2 linked regions of the Astyanax mexicanus genome follow. The protein of the gene in region 1 interacts with the protein of each later gene in a pairwise test. Links are inferred from orthologs where the notes say so. Each region holds a gene or a part of one and is shown in the gene's direction. Other genes may lie near its edges.

Region 1 (10,591 bases):
CTTTACTTCACCTTTTGTCTTTACTTAGTTGAGTATTTCTTAACATAATGTGGATTAGAACACTACGCAAATAAGGCTATTCACTGTGTACCAAGTCTAGCTCTTCACAACACAACTTCTACTTTGAAAAATCTAAAACATAAAACATTTTCTCTTTGGTTTACTAATTATTTCCACATGTATTTCTTCATAGTTTGGATGGCATTACTGGTCAATGCAAAACATTTCAAATAATGAAAATACACTGAATTTAAGGTGTGTCAATTTTTTTGACTGGTACTGTATAATCTGTTGCGTTCGTGAACTTATGGAGACACAGGCCAACTTGAGGGTAAACTGTGTGAGTTAACTCATTAATATAGCCCCCTCCCATTGTGTTTCTGTGCCCAGTTCTTTGTTAAGTGTGGTGCTGTTAAAAATAATTGACATTGTCAATTACGATTATGATTAACTGATTGCTGCAGCCCTATTTACCAGTATATAGCCTGGGTGACCAGCTTTTTGAATCAGCTTAAACTATCTGAAACCAGCAAGCTGAATTTTTCAACATATATTAAAGTAATATTAATAATACTTTAACAAGATCTTTTTTTAATATATTTTTAATTATATCATATTTTGTAGCCTATCATATATCTCCAATTTCCACTATTGCATATGGGGATATGTTTTTTTTTTTTTTTTTTGTCAAATTGTCCAGCCTTAATAATAAGAGACTGAGCCAACTCCAGAGAGAGAGAGCATCCAACCAGAATTAAAGCCACACAAGCGCCCAAAAATGAAACAAAAATATATATTTAGCTAAAATACTCTTCACAAATTAATATTTAATGACTTTAAATACAAATTTGTGACATCAGTCTCAGATTCAGATGTTTTCAGAGTGAAGCTGAACCAGCATCAATCAGCAGAGCAACCAGGCAGAGAGAAGAGAAAACCAGAGAAGTGGACTCACCGTTTGTGGAGGTAAAGCACTGGAAAAGCAGGGCTATGAAGGCTGCCGATCTTCTGGGAATCATTCCGTCCCTCCGTAGCCTAATGTTACTCCAACGAAAAGTCAGTCAATCAGTCAGAAGCCAAAGTAACCCAGTAGCCCAGGTCCCTCTAGCCTATCTATATCTATCAGCAGCAGCAAGAAGAAGAGATAACCTCCAACAGTGGATGGATGAACCGCAGCTATAAGCTGCTCCTGCAGCCACAGAACTTCTTGTTGGTAGCTTACAGCCTGTTTTCAAGGTTAAGGTTTGTATTCCATGGTGTCCAGACACTTTTTCAGCTCTTACGCTCCTTCAGGTAAGGGGTAGGAGCCAGTCTGCGCCTCTGGGCAGGTGCTATGTGGTTTTATTCTCCTCCTGGCGAATCAGAATATTACAAAAAATAAGAAAAGTAGGAAAAACAAGCAAAAAAACAGTCCAGGATTCTCAGGGTTCGTCTCACATATCCTCCACTGCGACTCCAAGCAGGGGAATGAGCTGCACAGACGGCAGCAGGCTATTAACTAAGCGCAGCAGCAGCAGCTCTCCTCCTGCTCCCATCCTGCTCCAGGGTTTTATACTGAAAGGAAGAGGCAACGTCACTGAGCCCTGACTGGGAGCCTGTGGCACTCTCACACACTCAGTGTTATCATAGCAATCCGTTTTAAGTCTCAAATCAAACCAGTAATACGAGTTTATACTGGTAAATTTCACATTCAAAACATCTGTAAAGCGTTTTTTATCATTTACTATCAATAATATCACATACTGCTCTGGAGAAAATAAGAGACCAGTTAAAAAGTGATGAGTTTCTTTGATTTTACCAAATTAAAAACCTCTGTAATATAATCAAGAGAAAGATGGATGATCACAAGCCATCAAACCAAGCTGAACTGCTTGAATTTTTGCACAAGGAGTAAAGGCATAAAGTTATCCAAAAGCAGTGTGTAAGACTGGTGGAGGAGAACATGCCAAGATGCATAAAAACTGTTTAAAAAACAGGGTTATTCCCCCAAATATTTATTGATTTCTGAACTCTTAAAACTTTATGAATATGAACTTGTTTTCTTTGCATTATTCGAGATCTGAAAGCTCTGCATCTTTTTTGTTATTTCAGCCATTTCTCATTTTCTGCAAATAAATGCTCTAAATGACAATATTTTCATTTGGAATTTGGGAGAAATGTTGTCTGTAGTTTCTAGAATAAAACAACAATGTTCATTTTACTCAAACTTATACCTATAAATAGCAAAATTAGAGAAACTGATTCATAAATTGAAGAGGTCTCTTATTTTTTCCAGAGCTGTATACACACAGTAATTGTTTAAGAAATAAAAGAAAACATTTAGTGAGAAAGAGTGTGCAAAATTTTGAATGGTACTGTATCTATAAATCCATTCTGACATTCTGACTAGACATATTTTTGGGATGATATAGCCATAATGTTAGTTTTTCTAGTCATATTTTACCATTTATATCATTACCATTTATCTCCACTGTAATTCTCAGGTCCAGGTTTCAGTCCAGGTCCAGATCTATCTGATCTATCTGAATCCTGACTAGGTCAATATATCTTTAATATACTGCAGTTATGATCATGTGTCTTTAGGATATGTGGAATTTTAGATCTCTATAATATACTTTAGATATCTAAAATTGTTTTGTTTTAAATTTAGTAGCAATAATATTATTCATATCTAAATTCAAAATCCAGATCTCTGTAATTTTACTTTTATCTATCAATAATATTGGATTTACAACTGATTTACGTGGAATTTCAGTTTTTTTTTTCTATTATATATTTCAAATAAATCTAAAATTAATATATTTCTATTTATATTACTTCTATTATTACTTATCTTTAACTGTCTAGCTTGGTCAGAGAGAAAAAAACTAACATATTCTATGACTGACTACTGATGTTCATTGTTTATTTCAGGTCCAAAGAACATACTAAAGACTAAAAACACTGCCAGTTGATCTGATATAGTGTTAAAACAAGTGACTTTACACATGACTGTTTTCCCCAAATGTCCTTCTCGAGATAAACAGATAAACATAGCTGCACCTCCCTAAAATATCTGGGTACAAAGGTAAACAGGCATTGTCTTACTCGTGCTATCGAGGTAAATATCCACAGGACAAATATTTGCTGCTTTATTTTTAACTTTGGAAAACAGGACACACAGCTATGCTATATCTAGGCCTAAAAACATTTGGGAACCTCCCATGATTTTGAAACGTCCAGCAAGTTCACCTTATCACAAATAGGGACATATCCATGGATATACTTTAGTGGAGGGGTTGTTCATAAGATTGTCAGGCATAAGAGTTCTGATTCACTGACTTACACTGGGTGTGTCTCCTCTCTTAAAACATTACAGTTCAAATCAAAGCCTTATATTAACAAATGTGTTAACTTCTCTGGGCTATGAGGCTTCTGGGATTGATCATCTCACAGTGGAAACCTCCAGATCTTTTTTGGAACACTCAAAAAAGTACAAAGCTTGTCGCTGGGGCTGTACCTTATATTAAGGTACAACAGAATACCTTTTAGTAATAGTCTTTTTTGGACCCATGTTTTTGGTACCAGTAAAGATTATAAAGATTATAAACATTATCATCAACTGAATATGTGTCGAGAATTGATTGTCCAAAATTGTCTGGCTTTAAAAATGAAAAATGTGTAATTAAAATATATATTATTTATTAGTACAGTGATACAGAATACCAAATGTACCTTTTAGCTGGTTAAATGGTACAAATCTGTACTTCCTGCTGTTAGGAAAGACTTTATGCTTCAGAGGGAACATCTGACCCTGTAAAGACCAATATTATACCTTAATAGGACACAATTATGAAATGATAAAAAGTGCACTTTGAGCAAAAGAAAAGACTTATATCGTACCTCTATTTTTTTGTGTGAAGAAATGGATGCAATCCAAGGACCATCCAGACTTTTATCAGAAACAAGGCCAGAAGCCAGGGTCTGTCATGGTTTGGGTTTTGATCAGTACACCTCTGCAATGCAGCATTAATGTAGAAATGTAGTTAATGGAGATCTTTGAGCAACATATGCTGCCTTATGATGACATCTTCTCCAGAGAAGACCTCTATGTATTTCTTCTTCAACAAGACCATGCAAAACCATATGTTGCACACACTGCAAAAGTATGGCTTCAGAACAAGAAGGTATGGGTACTGTTCTGGCCTGCCTGCAGACCGGACCTGTCCTAAATAGAGAATAGAGAATAGAGAATCTTTTGAGTGTTGATTTTTCATCCCAACTTTTTTTGGAATGTGTTGCAGGCCTGCAATGCATGAATTGATGTACAAAAGTTGTAAATTAACAAATTAAACAAAATATTTAGCTTTCTGTCTCCAATAAAACAAATGACAAAAAACCTAAATGTAAGAAACTCAGCACTTTTTTTATTATTCATACTGTCCCAACCTGTCTTGTTTTATGAAGTAAATGATGCATAAAATGATGAAATAGGTTTTTAAAATAGCTCTTTTGTCCTATTTGTTACTTTATTCCATTCTAAAGTAAACCCGAGGACTTTATTTCACATCACAACTCATATACATTTCTTTCTTTCTTTTTTCTTTTACAGGCAAGTCTTCAGAAGGGTGCACATTCTCCGTGGGCCAGGAGGGCAGCTAGATAAGACTCGAGTGGGAACAATTACTGGAAACCAAGGGCTGAAAGGCCTGGGCTTTTAAGACGTTTCTTTTTTAATCTAGTGTGCGGAAAACAATAAGAGGGTCCGAGTAGTTCTGTGTGCGCAGCTTGAGCTCTTTCCTTCAGGTCAACAATAAACCTCGCTCCCTGTTAAAACAAAGATGTCTGCTGTAGCAACAAAAACCTTTATGTTAAATGTGGCTTAGAATAGACCATGATTGGTCAATATGCCTTTATTTAGAAAGAATCGTGCAAAACTGGTGAATTACTGTTTTTCTTGTTTTAAACACCCGTTGTTTGTTTTGTCATATGCAGTTTTTGTAAAATTCTTCATCAATGTTTATTTTTTTATTTATTTACAGGGGAATCCCAGACAGCAATTAAGCTATGTCTTGAACTAAACAGCATTTTAAATGCAGATTTTCCATTTAAATCAAAGTATCATGTTTAGGAAACGTACCTACTAAGGTTTATATCTTAATTCTTAGTTTGTAATCACTTTTTCCTTTGTATGTCTAATAAAGAACTAATAAAGGATTATGTTTGATTTTTTTCTTATTAACAAATAATATTTGCAATACAGCAAAACTTTACAATACAGCAAAATTATAATAATTATAATAGTAATTTGCTCTTTCTGTCTATGAATCTTTTATTAAGTGATTCATATGTCTTGTGTAAGACACCATCTAGTGGTCATATAGCAGGACTGCACCTCCAGTAAATAAGCTTGCTGTCTTACAGGGGAAGAATATTTGTTGGAAATATTACTACTAAATAATGTCAAAGGTATTTCTTATAAGCATATTTACCAAATGTATTGGTGTCATTTTGTGATTTACCGCCATTTACTAAATATATTTTTGCCTTTATAAGCACATGTAAAGACTATGGCAAATGTCTTTAGATTTATTCAGAATTTTACACATAATAAATGTAAACATTTTTTTAAAATATATGTTTTAAAAATTATGAGGAATTAAAAAAAGGAATATATTTTCAAGCAATTTAATTATTTTCTTAGCAATGCACTATATGCATGAAAATAAGGAACAAACAGGTAGACCCATATATTCCATCTTTGTATCAAATAATTTTATATCCTGGTCTTCCTCATGTAATCAGAAAATCCATAAAAAACTGTCTAATTTTGTCTGATTTAATAATAGTGAAAGCTTTGTGTTACAAATAGTCAATAATAATGTATAATGTGTGTGTTGTAAATTAGCTCTGATGTTGCTAATTTTAAATTTCTGGAGAAAAAAAACTTTACCAACATTATTTTCAAAGTAATTGGAAATTCCCCTGTATTGTTTAACTCAATTCTATTTTGATTTATTTGTTTTATTTATTTATCTTTACTTTTTTATTATTATTATTATTATTTACTTTTTATCATATTTATTACAATTTATGTTTGTAAAAAAAACCCTGTCTTTATAATTCTAACGTTACAGGCTTTATGTCTTCACTGTCCCTTTAGGCTCGCGCAACACGTTAGCTGATTAGTTGTGTGAGTTTTTGTGAGAGAAGACGGGATTTTAACGAGGTTTTGTCCTAAAAACAGTATAGATACGAGGTTGCCTGGGTTCAAATACATGTTATAAAGGTATAAACATTGTAAAACTGAGATGGAGGACGTTCTTATTAATGTGAAAGGTAAGAATTGTCTTCAAAAGACTAAAATCCCCGTTTGCTTATCTGAGGTAATTATTGTGAGTTAGCGTTAGCTTGTTAGCCGCTAGCTAGCTAGCTAATTCTAGTTAACCTAACTGGCTTAATTTTAACTAGTGGTGGAGAAATTTAGAGCTAACTTACTAACTATGTAGTTCTTGTGTTTTATTTCTTTAGCTGACTAACTTAGTTTTAACTAGCAAAGAATAACTAACTTAGCTAGCTAGCTATCTGACTTAACTATTGGTGGTGGAAATACTATCTAGCTAGGTAACGTAGTAAACTAACCCTATTGGTCCAGAAATTACTAGCTAGCCTAGCTTAGCTAGCTAGTAACTGACCTAAATTACACTAAGTTATCTATTGGTTGATAATAATTTTAACTAGTGGTGAAGAAATTCCTGGATATCTAACTTAACCTCAGTTTTAATTAGTGGTAGATAAATTACTAGCTAGCTAACATTCACTGACAATTGTAACTAGTGGTGGAATTACTAACTGGGTTAACTAACTTAATTTTAACTAGTGGAATTAACTACTAGCTATCTGACTTAAATTTAACTATAGGTGGAGGAAATAACTTACTAGGTTTAATAGATAGCTAGCATTAACTGAAAATTGGTGGATCAATTACTGGCAAGCATTAACTGACAATTCTAATTAGTGGTGGATAAATTAATAGCTAGGTTAACTAACTTGGTTTTAACTAGTGGTGGGAAAATTCCTAGCTAACTAACTTTGTTTTAAATAGTGGTTGAGGAATTAACTACTAGCTATCTGAATTAAATTTAACTATTGGTGGTGGAAATACTATCTAGCTAGGTAGTTAACTAACCTATTGGTCCAGAAATTACTAGCTAGCCTAGCTTAGCTAACTAGTAACTGACCTAAATTACACTAAGTTATCTATTGGTTGATAATAATTTTAACTAGTGGTGAAGAAATTCCTGGATATCTAACTTAACTTTAGTTTTAATTAGTGGTAGATGAATTTCTAGCTAGCTAACATTCACTGACAATTATAACTAGCGGTGGAGGAATTACTAACTGGGTTAACTAACTTAATTTTAACTAGTGGTCTGGAAATTCTTAGCTAACTAACTTTGTTGTAACTAGTGGTTGAGGAATTAACTACTAGCTATCTGACTTAAATTTAACTATTGGCGGAGGAAATAACTTACTAGCTTTAGCTAGCTAGCCCTAACTGACAATTTTAAGTAAAATTAAATTTAACTAACTATTGGTGGATGAATTACTGGCAAGCATTAACTGACAATTTTAATTAGTGGTGGATAAATTAATAGCTAGGTTAACTAACTTAGTTTTAACTAGTGGTGGGGAAATTCCTAGCTTAGTAACTTTGTTTTAACTAGTGGTCGAGGAATTTCTATCCAACTGATTAAATTTAACTGTTGGTGGAGGAAATACGACTTTTATCTAGCTAGCATTAACTGACTGTTTTAACTATTGGTAAAAAAAATTACTAGCTAGGTTAACTAGTTCACTTTTTAGTTTTAAAGTACTAGTTTAGTTTTGTATAGCAGTGGAGAAATACGTAGCTAACCAACTTTGTTTTAAATAGTGGTGGAAGAATTGCTAGCTAGTTTGCTAATTGACAATTTTAACTAGTGGTGGAGGAAGTGCAAGCTTGCCAACTAATTTGTGGTGGAGGAATTAGCTAACTTACTAGTTAGCTATCTTACTAGTTACCTTAACTAATCTACTTTTAACTAGTGTTGGAGGAATCACTAACTAGAAAACTACTTAAGTTAAAGTACAGATACCCACGCTAAACGATAAAGAAAATTATTACAGTAAAATTAAAAAGCATCCCTTGAGGCCTCTAACTTGGAAAAAAGCTAACTGACTTGTTTTAACTAGTGGTGAAGGAATTACTAGCTAGCTTACCATCTAACTTGTGCTGAAGGATTTGTTAGTCAGCTAACTAGTTATCTTGACTTAGCTACTTTGTACTAGTGGTGGAGCAATTACTAGATAGCGAACTACTTAAATTAATGTAGAGTTAACCCACGCTTAAATATTATTCCAGTAAAAGAAAAAGGCTGGAAAAAAGTGTTTGCCTTCAAATGTAGCTAGCTACATTAAGGTACATAAAGTTAGTTACTTAGTTATGTAGTAATCATTAGTAAACCTACCACAATATATAAGCTATGACTAGAGAAACCAATTATAGTTACATTGGTAATGTAGACAACTCAATTCAACCAAAATAAACAGCCAAACATGTCGTGCTGTATGAACTACCTAACTACCAACAATATAATCTGTTTTTCTCTCTTAGGTCTGGCAGAGAGTCTTCTTAACAGACAGAGTGATGACAGTGTGAACGACTTGATTGAGACGCTGTTTGAAAAAGTTCAGTCGCTTGAGAAACCCACTAAAATTCAAGATACAGAGGTGCCGGTCTATTTGAGAACAAATTTTATTTAGCTAGATCATAAGTCTAAAGCTGAAAATCCACGGAATTTTAAAAGTGGACTTTATATCGACAATAATTTGAAGTAAGTTATGATGTCTTGTGAAATATAAAGAGATAAAGGTTACCAAATTACTGGATATGGCACAGTTTACCACAATATGTAAGAACAGAAAGGCATTTTTAATAAAAAGTACATTGTTATCTTCTCTGACATTAACTTATAGAGATGGGGTTTTACTGGTATCCCCCCCCCCAGTCTGATGCTGTAATCCAACCTACTTATGTACCAAAATAGGGCAAAAAAAAAACAATTAGAAGAACAATAACGTTTTTTTCAGCTGAAATGCTGACTGTGAATGAAAAACTAGATAATTGGAAAAACATGTATAAAAAAATCTGAAAATTGATAAATTGATAAACCTTACACAGACCCCAATGGGACATGATTATCTTGTTTCTCATTTTTAGAAAGTAGCTCAAAACAAAAATAATAAACATGTTTTTTATTTGCAGGTTGAAGAATGTGCTATTCAGTTGTGGAACTGGGCTGTGACCAAAAATATTGGTTCTGTTATTAGTGAGCAACAAAAAGCCAAAGGTTTTTGTTTTATAAAAATGTCATGTTATTTTCTTACAGGCAGTCTTTATTTCTGTAAGTTTACAGATGCTTTAATGACATTTTACCTTACATGTTATGATATATTTTGTGTGATTCAGTGCGTCTTGTGGCCTGCAAACTCCTGTATGTGTGTGAAACCGAGGAACCACCTGAGAATGTTATTCGCAAACAGATTATGGTTTGTCTGTGTTCTCACTTCATTTAATATTATTTTTGAAATTCAGAACTTTTTCTGAAAACACTAATTATATTTCCTTTTAGTTTAGTCTAATTTTTTAATGCAACATTTCCACTGCACTTCAGCTAGTTCTTTATGGTGTGTGTGTGTGTGTGTTGTATTTTTATGTGTCGCAGATGGCCAGTAAGACAGGGAGAACATGGCTTGATTGTAAAAACCCTAAGCTTGCCGATGACTTTTTAAAACTTGCAGTCAGTGTAAGTGTGAACTTCATGTCAACTATATAGATATAGATATAAAGATATAGATATATAGAATATTGTCAGACAATGACATTGCACAAATTATTTTTTCTTGTGAAACAGTGCAATTAAATTAATAGAACAATCTGGTTTGATTGTATTTTGATTTGAGTTTGTTGTTGACCTAAATATAACCTCCAGTACAGTAATAATAAATGTTTTGTATGATTTCACAGAGTCTGGAGACTCTTTACTGCAGACTAACATCCCATGGAGCTGGTGTTTCTGATACCAACACACCGAAAGGAGATGTAGAGAAAGATCTTCTGCGTGTTCTCTCTTATCAAGCAGAATCTGTAAGATGGTGCTTATATGTAATGCATTTAGTAGTAGAGAATGACTGGAGTTGTAATAATCCTAGCAAACAATTTAAAATAATATTATAATACATTTAGAATATATTTTACATAAATGCACTTGGCGTGACTGACTTTTAGGCAGTTGCTCAAGAGAATCACCAGGAGGCAGTGTCCTGCATGCAGCGGTGTAAAGAGATGCTTCTTAGGCTTCCTAAGGAGGTATACGATTTATTTTCATGTTATTATTTCTTGTTTGCGTTTTGTCTTTGCGTTTTTATTTGTACGAATAATTGTTTTACAGTAATTAAAGCAGCTTAATTTCTTTTAGACTGGCTATTTGTCTCTCATCTGCTACAACTTCGGAGTGGAAACATATAATCAAAAGAAGCTTGAAGAAAGCTCTTTTTGGCTCAGGTGAGA
Region 2 (10,228 bases), on another chromosome or scaffold:
GAAAGCAAAGCTTTTTGACAGCAAATTGATTTTTAATTGTTCACTTCTGCACTCACTCCAGGTGGCTCGGAATCATCTTCATTTGCTGTTTTACGCGCTTGATGCAGGGTATAAAAACACCCCACTACACAAGATGGTGAAGACCTGCCAGCTATTTGTTGCACCAAATCGCACAGATTCCACGTTTCAGGGATATTTGGGGATATTTGGGGGTATTTAGACATAATTGTCTGAAATGCCTCCTCTAGCCAGAGTCTGCGCTCTGAAACAGCAGCAATAAGGGATTTTCGAAAGACGGTCTGCTCGGCCACTCTAATGGCCCTGACAGGAAGGAAATGCAATTTGAAAGGAGCTGATCTATGTAAGCCATTGTTGTGGCATAATGCTGATCTAATTATTAACCACCACTGATGGAGGAACAGTGCTGTGTGGATTTTCGCCGGGGCAGATTTGGGATGATGCCATTGGATCGGTGTTGGGTGCCAGCCTGCTACAGCTAGAGCTGCTTTGAATCTCTGGAGGTTAGGGCCATGACTTTGCTTCTGCCCCATTGCCACTAGTCCCTCTATACCCCAACTGCAAACCAACATCATGAATTAGAGGAGTCAGAAGTGGAGATGTAAAATACAATGCTGGCTACAAATCCTTGTTCAACCTCAATGTTAATTTTTTTGTTTTTTTGCATTATTTTATGCATCACATCTCTGACATGTAACATGAAAATCATGTGAAAAACACTAACTCCAAACCTGCTTGATAAAGAGAAAAGCTGTTTAATTTGTTAAGCAGGGTAATATAACTATGGGCTTAGACTTTTACTGACAGATGTTTGGGTTTTGAGCAATTGCTTTGGGTTTAGAACCATGTGTCCCATCATTCAAAGGTGCTGGAAGTGACATCTCGACTTCTAAGATGCATGAAGAACAAGTAACAAGATCCCAATCAGGTTTAGAGACTATCAGAGAGTAAGCTGTTCCAGACCTCTTTTTAAAAGCAGACTTTGCCTTTTCTGAGGTGCCATTTATCACTCACATTTTGTACAATTAAGGAGCAATTAATGCCCTGTATTGAACGGCTCTCACTAATGCTGGCACTCCATCAAAGCCCAGCACATTGAGCTCTCACTTTAAAACCATCATCAAGAACACATATCTGAAGTGCTGCACTCAGATGGTCGACATAAAACAAAAAAGAGAGGAAAAGGAGAAAAATACAGGGAAAAAGTGATCCTAACATCAGGTTTATATCAATCTCACAGACAAACGATATCAAACGGCAGCAAGACAATACGATTGTGGCGCCTGTGACCTTTTCTGCATTCGGTGCTCTACCAGTCTGGGTTGAGCACAGTAAAGGACTGACCTTTGTAGAATTATTCTAATACTGCCTAATCTGAATTGTTGAAGGATATGCTACTCACGCTTTGTGCAAAAGGTTACACAATCTGTATGGTTGTGGCATCATTCCAAGGACTTCTTATTTGTTGGAGCTTCTGCAGGTATCAACAGTGTGTACCAGCAAGATATTACACCACACTTTCTAATTAGAGTACCTCTGATTGCCTTCCCTCTACATTCATTCAAGTCACTGTGATAAAGACCAATGAGATAGATCTATTAAACACTACAGTCGCTACTTCAGAACTTCCCAGATAACATCTTAATTTAGGTCTTCTTCATTCATATAGAAACCTGGATTTGCTCTAACTCATTACAGCATCATCAATTACAACTAATTGAACAGATTACTGAATTCATTGACTGATGATTGTACATAGTCTATACATGCCTTCACATAAATCTGAACAGGTATCATTCCCAGCTTTGATCAAACTTTAAGCAGAACCAAGCACCACTTCTCTCACTCTTAATACATTGTTTTCTGTATCTAATGCCATGAGTTTCATTATGAAGCTACATCGAGAAACTTATACAAAAACACAGACATGCACAGACCACTAGACAAAACCAGACAGACACACAGACCTGCCACATGAAAACTTTTCATGCCAGATGGCTCTGCTGTGCAGTTGGCTGTGCTACAGTGACATCTTTTGGTGATGCAGATCAACTGCATGACCAAAACAGGTAACAGACCTCATGTAAATATGAGGTTAAAAGTAATATACTAGTGCGGCAAAAAAAAAAAAAAAGTAGAATATCAGTGAAAAGTTGCTTTATTTCAGTAATTCAGTTCAAAATGTGAAACGTGTATAGTATACAGATGTATTACACACAGAATGATCTATCTAATCATTCATGTCTTTTATTGTTGGTGATTATGTCTTACAGCCAAAGAAACCCCAAAATTTGAACCATCACTGATTGAGGAAACTTCACACTAGACCCTAAGCAGTTTGGATTGTGTGTCTCTCCACTCTTCCTCCAGACTCTGGTCTCTTGATTTTCAAATGAAATGCTGCTGGTGTTGGTCCACGGTGTTATATCAAGTCCAAAGTCAGTGCAGTGTTTTCCTGGAAAATCTTACAGCACTTCATGCTTCCCTCTGCTCACAACATTTATGGAAACGCAGATTTCATTTTCCAGCAGGACTTGACACACTGCCCACACTGCCAAAAGTACCAATTGGTCTTATAATATATAATATTCAAATTTTCTGAGACCCTCATTTTTGGGGTTTCAATGGCTGTAAGCCATAAGGATCAACGATAAAATAAACAAATGCTTAAAATAGATCACTCTGTATTAATACATCCATATAATATGAGTTTTGCATTTTGAACTGAATTCCTGAAATAAAGCAACTTTTCATTGATATTCTATTTTTTTAGATGCACTAGTAAATAAAATTGTTTACAGGATATAAGGCAGTTTCCATCAAAGCAGACTTTATTATAAAGACAAATCAACTCAATATTATAAATTCAACATTTAGTGGATCTGTACTCTACATAGTTAATTGTTCTTTGTTTCTGTCTTTAAAAGAGTTGCACTTCTTTGAAGCTAATAAAATAAAGGCTGCATAATATTGGAAAAAGTATGACAATTATTTTCACATTTGATATTAATCATGATTAATGAAAAAATAGTTAATGTACTTTAATGTACAAGTGTACAGCAATTTATTTTGGTACAAGCTGCTTAAGCTGCTCAGTTGAATCAGGGTTTGAGTTCTCCTCCACATTGCTTCCTTGTTATACACTGGATAGGGAGTAGTTATGTAAATACAAATATGGCTTTATGTTTGACAAGACAGTACATGCCCACACACAATGTGAAAAATATTACAGAATTAAAGGAAAATAAAAATTAACGATAAGGGAAAGACTGCGTCAATTACAGTTTGTGAATGTAAATTGTGATTGATTTTTAATTACTTGCCCAGCCCTCTATACACATTGTATTTTTCACCAGAAGTCAGCAATCCAACACGTGATAATATTAAAGATTCAATCCATTTTTTTAAAACAATGGAGTAAAATATACAACACTGAACAGATATAGTATAATATATCATGGAAAATAAGAGAACATTGAGAATTTCCCTTTTGCATCAAACAGCAAAAAACTTTTGACATATAGGCTAACAAAACCTCATGTAACATTATACATCTAGCAATGTGACTACTGAAAATATACACGTTGTAATGGTGATGCTAAAACAATATATTGCGCAGACCTCATTCAAATTACTTGAACTCTAACTCAATTATATTTCCAAAAGGGATACATTCATTTAGACCTCATTTACATTCCTAAAGGTCATGAAAGTTTCTTACTTCTCTAAACCTTTTTCATTTCAATTAAAAATACAATCAACTTTATGTCAATGTAAATGAAACTGCCCATAACTTCCAGAAGTCCATTAGCCTTCGCAACACACACCTCCACAGCACAGGAAAGCATATTGTGACTCATTATGTTACATTTTAAATTAGTTACGTTTTCATGATTTTGAAATATAGATGCTGTTTGGCTCCATACTTCCACTTTTAACGGAGTATGATTTTTTATATGCAGCTCAATTTCCATTAGGCTCTCTGTACTTTTCCACCTGTTTATAAATGAGCATTCTACATTTAAATACTTAAACTCTGATAAAGTTTTCTTTCTAAGACATTTAGGTTTTACCTTCACGTATATTTTGGTGATATAATTTGTGCTGTTGTTGTAAGTAGAGCTCTTGATTTTACACATTAAACCAGTTTTGACAAGTTACTAATATGTACAGTACCAGTCAAAATTTAGTGTTTCCCATTATTTTCAAAAGTTCTGCAGGTCATGCAGAAAAACATATGGAGTAATTTAGTAATTAAAAAGTGCTAAACAAAACAGAATATGGTTATATTCTGGTTATATTCTAATAATGTAGATACTTCAAAGTAGACACCCATTGCTGAGATAACAGCTTTGCAGATCTTGGAATTTTCTCAGTCAGCTTTATGAGGCTGAGTCACCTGTTGTGGCTTTCAATTAACAGCTGTGCCTTGTCAAGAGTTAATTACTTGAATTTCTTGCCTCTTAATGTGTTTGAGCATCAGTTGTAAAGTTGTGAAGAGGTAGAGCTGGTTAACAGTGAATACTGTTGAATAACGTTTTAATCCATATTATAGCAAGAACTACTCTACAAAGTAAAGAAAAAAACTACTTTAAGAAATAAAAGTCAAGAACTTTGGAAGTATCCTCGAGTGCAGTCGTAAAGACCAACAAAATGTGATGAATCTTTCTGGCTCTCCCCAGGAAAGCAAATACATTTTAGGCCATTTTTTTCAAATGTACTTAATATATTTTAAACATTTTACATATGTTTCATTCTGCGTAGGTTTTCATTTAAGATCAGTTTTTCTGCACCTTTTTTTCATGTTTATACAAAAATACTACTTTTACATGTTTTTATTCGGGTACTTTTACTCTATAGTAATTTTTGTATTATCACTTTTGTCATTGACATGTAGTTTAAACATACAGCTCTGGAAAAAAATAAGAGACCACTTCAGTCTCTGAATTAGTTTATTTGATTTTGCTCTTTTTTGGTATATGTTTAAATAAAACTGACATTGTTGTTTATTCTATAAACTACGGACAAAGTTTCTCCCAAATTCCAAATAAAAATATTGTCATTTAGAGCATTTATTTGCAGACAATAAGAAATGGCAGAAATATCAAAATGATGCAGAGCTTTTAGACCTCAAATAATGCAAAGAAAACAAGTTCATAATCATAAAGTTTTGGTTCAGAATGGTTTAGAAATCAATATTTGGTGGAACAACAATGGTTTTTAATCATAATTTTCATGCATCTTGGCTTGTTCTCCTCCACCGGTCTTACACACTGATTTTGGGTAACTTTATGACGCTCCTGGTGCAAAAATGTAAGCAGTTCAGCTTGGTTTGATGGCTTGTGATCATCCATCTTTTGGGATCATCCATTTTTTTTATTTGGTAAAATCAAAGAAACTCATAATATTTAAGTGCTTTCTTTTTTTCAGAGCTGTAGAATGTTGGTGATTGCTGTGCTGCATTTACTGTACTCTGTACTACTAAGTTACCTCTCACTGTTGTTCTACAGTGAAGGGAGCATGTTTTTGTTTAGTGGGTTTAATTTTCCTTAAGCTCTAGAATGTTTTGGAAAGCTTTCAACTGAAGTATCAACAACAGGCTACGGACGGTGCATTATGTGAATGTGGGTTTACTAACTAGTTATTTTTATTAGAAACACACAGGGCGAACCCGGGTCTACCCCAGCAGGCCGGGCTACTTTTCCAGTTTGTCCACCTGAACTTTTTCTCTCTCTCTGTGTGTATAGCTCTATCTATCTACTCACTCAGCCAGGCCTTCCTCTCCACTGCAGATTCAGCTCTTCTTTCCTGAAATGGTATTTCCGATTCTGCGCACTCTGCTGCCCCTGCCTGTCTGCCCGCCTGCCTGCCTGCCTGCCAGCCCGAGTTTCAGAGTTTCACTCTGGCGGAAAAGTTTGCATCATGATCAGTGAAGTGATCTGCTGATCTGAGAGAAAGGAGAGATTTGAGCCATGATGAGCGGGACGGTGGTCGACAGCGGCAGTCCCACTGCTGCAGTCCCGGATGAACTCTCAGGACAAATACTGGACGAGGACGAGGATTTTGAGGTTTTCTGTAAGGTAAAAAAACTCGCTGTCTCAGAGCTTGTGGAGCAGGAGAGGAGCTAGCCTCACTGAGACCACAGAGATAAATAGTGTGATGATGGCTGCCGCTACGTGGTCTGTCTGTCTGTGTGTTCATGTGTATGTGTAACTTATATAACGTTATAGCAGATAAACTGAATTGTGTAAAATTGTGTTTGAAGCGGTTGAGTTTGAGCTAGCTTAGCTAATTCTATCTAACTTCAAACTAAGCTCAAACTAAGTTAGTTGGAGTGAGTGTGCAAAAGTGGACACTCCCAGCATCCAGTCAGTTCAGTCTGTAGCCTAACTATAACAAATGAGAGCTCTCTCTATACAAACAAATACATGCTATCTAATACTAATACACAGTTTAGATAATAAAAAATAAAGGAAAATACCTTATTATCATTGTTAATGTTTGTCGCCGCCGCGTTGTTTTCCGTGTTTACGTTTAGTGTTGGGGTCCAAAGGTCAGAAATCAGCTGAGGTTATTGTTATTATACCAAACCCTAACTAACTTACAGCTTTAGCTAATTCTCTACACCGTTTATCTGTGTCTGAAACACAAGAAATGCTGACTTAACCTGTCAATTACCCTAACCTGTCTCACTCAGCGTTAGTTAACCTAGTTAACGTTAGCTATGAGGGAGTGTAGTAATGATTTAAGTCTCTGTAACCGGATTAAAATAGCTGCTACCTAACTATATATAAATACGTCCCAGCGTTGCTAGGGTTACAGACCGGTCACAGCTAGATATGAGTGTTATTTCTGTTGCTATTAGCCATTAGCATTTCAGCCCAATCAAATAAAAGATTAACCTAAGCTAGTAAGTTAGTTAGCTAAGCTAGCTAGCTTAGGTCAGTTCCATTTTTATAGCTTAGGAATGATCAATTTGAGGCAAAATATTGAAATAAAATATTGTGTGTACAACTTAATTATATGATTTTGTCAATTTGGCATAGTCAAAAACTGTTTTTCATCCATTTTTCATTTCTGCCCAACACAAAAAAAGTAAACTCTGTAATATGATTTTGTTCTGTTTTCCATTTAACGTTACTTATCTTGGAACAAATGTATGTAGCTAGGTTTAAAACATCATATTTTTGTTACAAAGTGCAAAAATGAAAAAAATGTTTTTCAATATTTCAGACTGTGAGGGTGCAGAATTTGGAAACTTGAAAAATGGAAAAAATATATATATTTTTCTTCTTTGTTATGTCAAACATAAAAAAATAAATAATAAATGTTACCCTCAATATTTTATTTTCAAATGTAGCCTCGAAAGGTCAGAAAATAAATCTGATAAGTGTTACAGTGACATAGCTGACCTAGATAACTGAATTTTGTTTTCAGAACGTTTGTGTAATGTTTAACATGTTTAGAGTGCTCCTTTAACATTCATTTGTCAGGGTCAGGGACCTTAATGCTTTTAGAATATTTCATTAATATAATTGTTGTAACAATGTTTTTCCTAATGCTGGCAAATGTTTAGAAGAGTTACATTTTAGAGTAATATTTAAGAGTAACATTTGCTAAATAGGTTATTATTGTAACATGCAAAATGCAAGGTTAGGTAACCTAAATTTTTTTGGTATTTTATTTATCTTTTTTTGGGGGGAGGAGTGTTTTCTCCTAACCTTCAGAAAACCTTGGACATTGCTGAGCAGTTTGTTTAATAATTCCTTGTTTTAGGACCTCCTGAAATCTGCTGACAGCAGTGGAGTTTGTTTTGACAGGAAGCTTCCATGATAGGAGGAGCAGTGAGGCTATGCAGTAGAGGTGTGCCAAAAAATCGATTCACATAAGAATCTTGATTCTCATTTACTACGATTCAGAATCGATTTAAAATGTCCCAAAATCGATTCTGAGGGGCGGGTTTTAGACTGATTTTGGGCTGGGTATTTTTGTTGGACCTGGCAACCCTGGGGATAGCGCTTGTCCTTTCAAACGGAGATCTTCCAGACACACACAGAGCGTAGGTGTTTGAGAATCACCGGTAAGATGGCAGAACAAGCACTATATTACATTAGATTAACGTGTAGTTTCAATGTTTTATGGCAGAATGCTTCATAACAAGCATAAAAAAGATCGCTAGTAGTTAGTTTCAGTAACTGTTAGCTAGCTAACTAGCTAACTTTCCAGTTCCACCTTAAATAACGCTACAGGTGGCAGCGGGCTGCAGCATTTAAGGCGGAACGGAAAAATACAATAAGCTAATCAGAGCTAATTTCAGCTCCTCATCACAGAGGAATTAAGGAATGGACCATATGAATTAATTTCTCCACCTCCTGCCCCCTTTCTGAAGAAATACAACGACCTTAAATTAACTAGTTAATCAGCAGCTGCTCCTGAACTTTAGCGCTCCACTGCTATCATCACATCAGCCCAGCAGCGTCACCTACACACCACCGCTAGTAGCCTGGTAATAAAGCAGTGTTATTTATTATTTATTTATTGTTCATTAACGTCATTGTGATATCCCAGTGATTCCTCTGTCACTGAGGACCCACATTCCTGCACATTTTATTGTTTTTGTAACACATTACCTGCTCCAGGACCAGTGTATATTATGGAGGGTTTTTTTTCAATAAGATTCATAAGCCAGAAGCAGAAATTTTTATAATTCAAATCGTTTTGAATCAAAAATCGATTTTGAATCGAATCGTGGCCCCCAAAATCGGAATCGAATCGAATCGTGAGATAGTAAACGATTCCCACCCCTACTATGCAGGCCTCTGCTTTTCCTCACAGATCTGACCTATCTATCTGAGAGTTTGGATAAAATGAGAAATATTTGCATGAGTCTCTGATTGAATGGTGATAAGGCAGTAGGCTTTGCTGGGAAACTCTGATCAGGATACACAGACAAAACACACTGGCACTACTACAGCATGAATGATTTTAATTTTTTGACTGAGTCTTCACAAACTGCTTTTGCAGTCAAAGAGCGCAATAAATGCTTAATTAAGAAGTGTTCTGCAATAAAGAGATGCACAGCTTATGACCAAATCCAAAATAGTAATAGCTTGTCACTTAGTTAATAAGTGCAGGAAGAGTACAAATGCTGCAATGTAAAATCAATGTCAGTGTTCTGATGTCCATGTGAGCTATAGAGTGATTTTTTTAGAGCCCAGTTTTGTCTCTCAAACCCAATTTTGTCTGTTTTTCTTGTCTTGTTGTAGGATTCAACCTTCACGGACGGAGGCTCTTTGAATGCCTCCATGCAAACCTCCCCTGGCTCAATGGTCAATCAGTACAAGTTTGAGGAGGAGGAAGAGCAGCCTGACACTAAAGACATTTTCGTCACAGTCGATAACCCTGAAAGCCATGTGACTGCCATTGAGACTTTTATTACATACAGGGTTTTGACCAAGGTACATCACAAACCACACTCTGCAGATTAGTGCTTGAAAAAAGGATTCAACTTCATTTACCATCTAAATGCTTAAAATGTTTTTCTCTCTCTGATATTAGACCACCCGTAGTGAGTTTGACTCCAGTGAGTATGAAGTCCGCAGGCGCTACCAAGACTTCTTTTGGTTAAAAAGCAAGCTGGAGGAGGCTCATCCCACGCTTATTGTTCATGTAAGTGATCTAGAGATGAAGGCATGCAATCTTTCCTCTCATTTGCAAATGCAGCCATTGTATGTATGTATTCGCATTTCAGGCTTCTATCTAGATATGTTAAAATGTGATTTAACTGATTTAAGAGGTGCTAAGTTCTATTTAAATAGAACTTGTTTTTTATGTGCTTTATATACTGTCACTTTCAAAAAACAATATATTAAAAACATATTTCCAAAACAGGAACTTTACATGAGATGGTTAAATATTTGTAACTTTTTTCATGTTTATTAATATATATGATATTTTCATTTGATCGAATCAAAAGAAGTCAGGTCAAATGAACTATCATCACCTGCTAAACAATACAAAAATATTCCTTAATCTATTGTATGTAAATTCATATTAATTTGTATTTAGAAACAGAAAAAAAGGGATTTAATCGGAAAAGGGTAACACTGAACATTGAACAAAAAATACAAGGCTTCGACTCAATCTAACCTTGTTATGTCCTTTGTTCTCTGCTGTCATGCTGAACAATGGCTTGTTTGTGCTGCTTCAG

The links. The genes of interacting proteins can lie anywhere in the genome.
Region 2: the proteins of tex11 (region 1) and snx7 interact in binary tests that used the Homo sapiens proteins (3 or more experiments, as listed by UniProt). The two-hybrid records come from large-scale screens. The link is inferred for Astyanax mexicanus from reciprocal best matches to the Homo sapiens genes TEX11 and SNX7.

Annotation. Positions count from the first base shown.
Region 1 is NC_064417.1:48,322,473-48,333,063, forward strand, and holds the start of tex11 (testis-expressed protein 11), read left to right. Parts: upstream 1-6,120; 5' UTR 6,121-6,290; coding exon 6,291-6,318; intron 6,319-8,635; coding exon 8,636-8,751; exon of another isoform or gene 8,752-8,855; intron 8,856-9,286; coding exon 9,287-9,371; intron 9,372-9,490; coding exon 9,491-9,570; intron 9,571-9,746; coding exon 9,747-9,827; intron 9,828-10,048; coding exon 10,049-10,168; intron 10,169-10,309; coding exon 10,310-10,390; intron 10,391-10,499; coding exon 10,500-10,585; intron 10,586-10,591. Other genes in the region: kdrl (vascular endothelial growth factor receptor kdr-like), read right to left, coding at 956-1,019. UniProt on the Homo sapiens protein: Regulator of crossing-over during meiosis. Involved in initiation and/or maintenance of chromosome synapsis and formation of crossovers.
Region 2 is NC_064413.1:37,369,142-37,379,369, forward strand, and holds the start of snx7 (sorting nexin-7), read left to right. Parts: upstream 1-5,858; 5' UTR 5,859-5,990; coding exon 5,991-6,098; intron 6,099-9,284; coding exon 9,285-9,476; intron 9,477-9,576; coding exon 9,577-9,687; intron 9,688-10,228. UniProt on the Homo sapiens protein: Involved in the regulation of endocytosis and in several stages of intracellular trafficking. Together with SNX4, involved in autophagosome assembly by regulating trafficking and recycling of phospholipid scramblase ATG9A.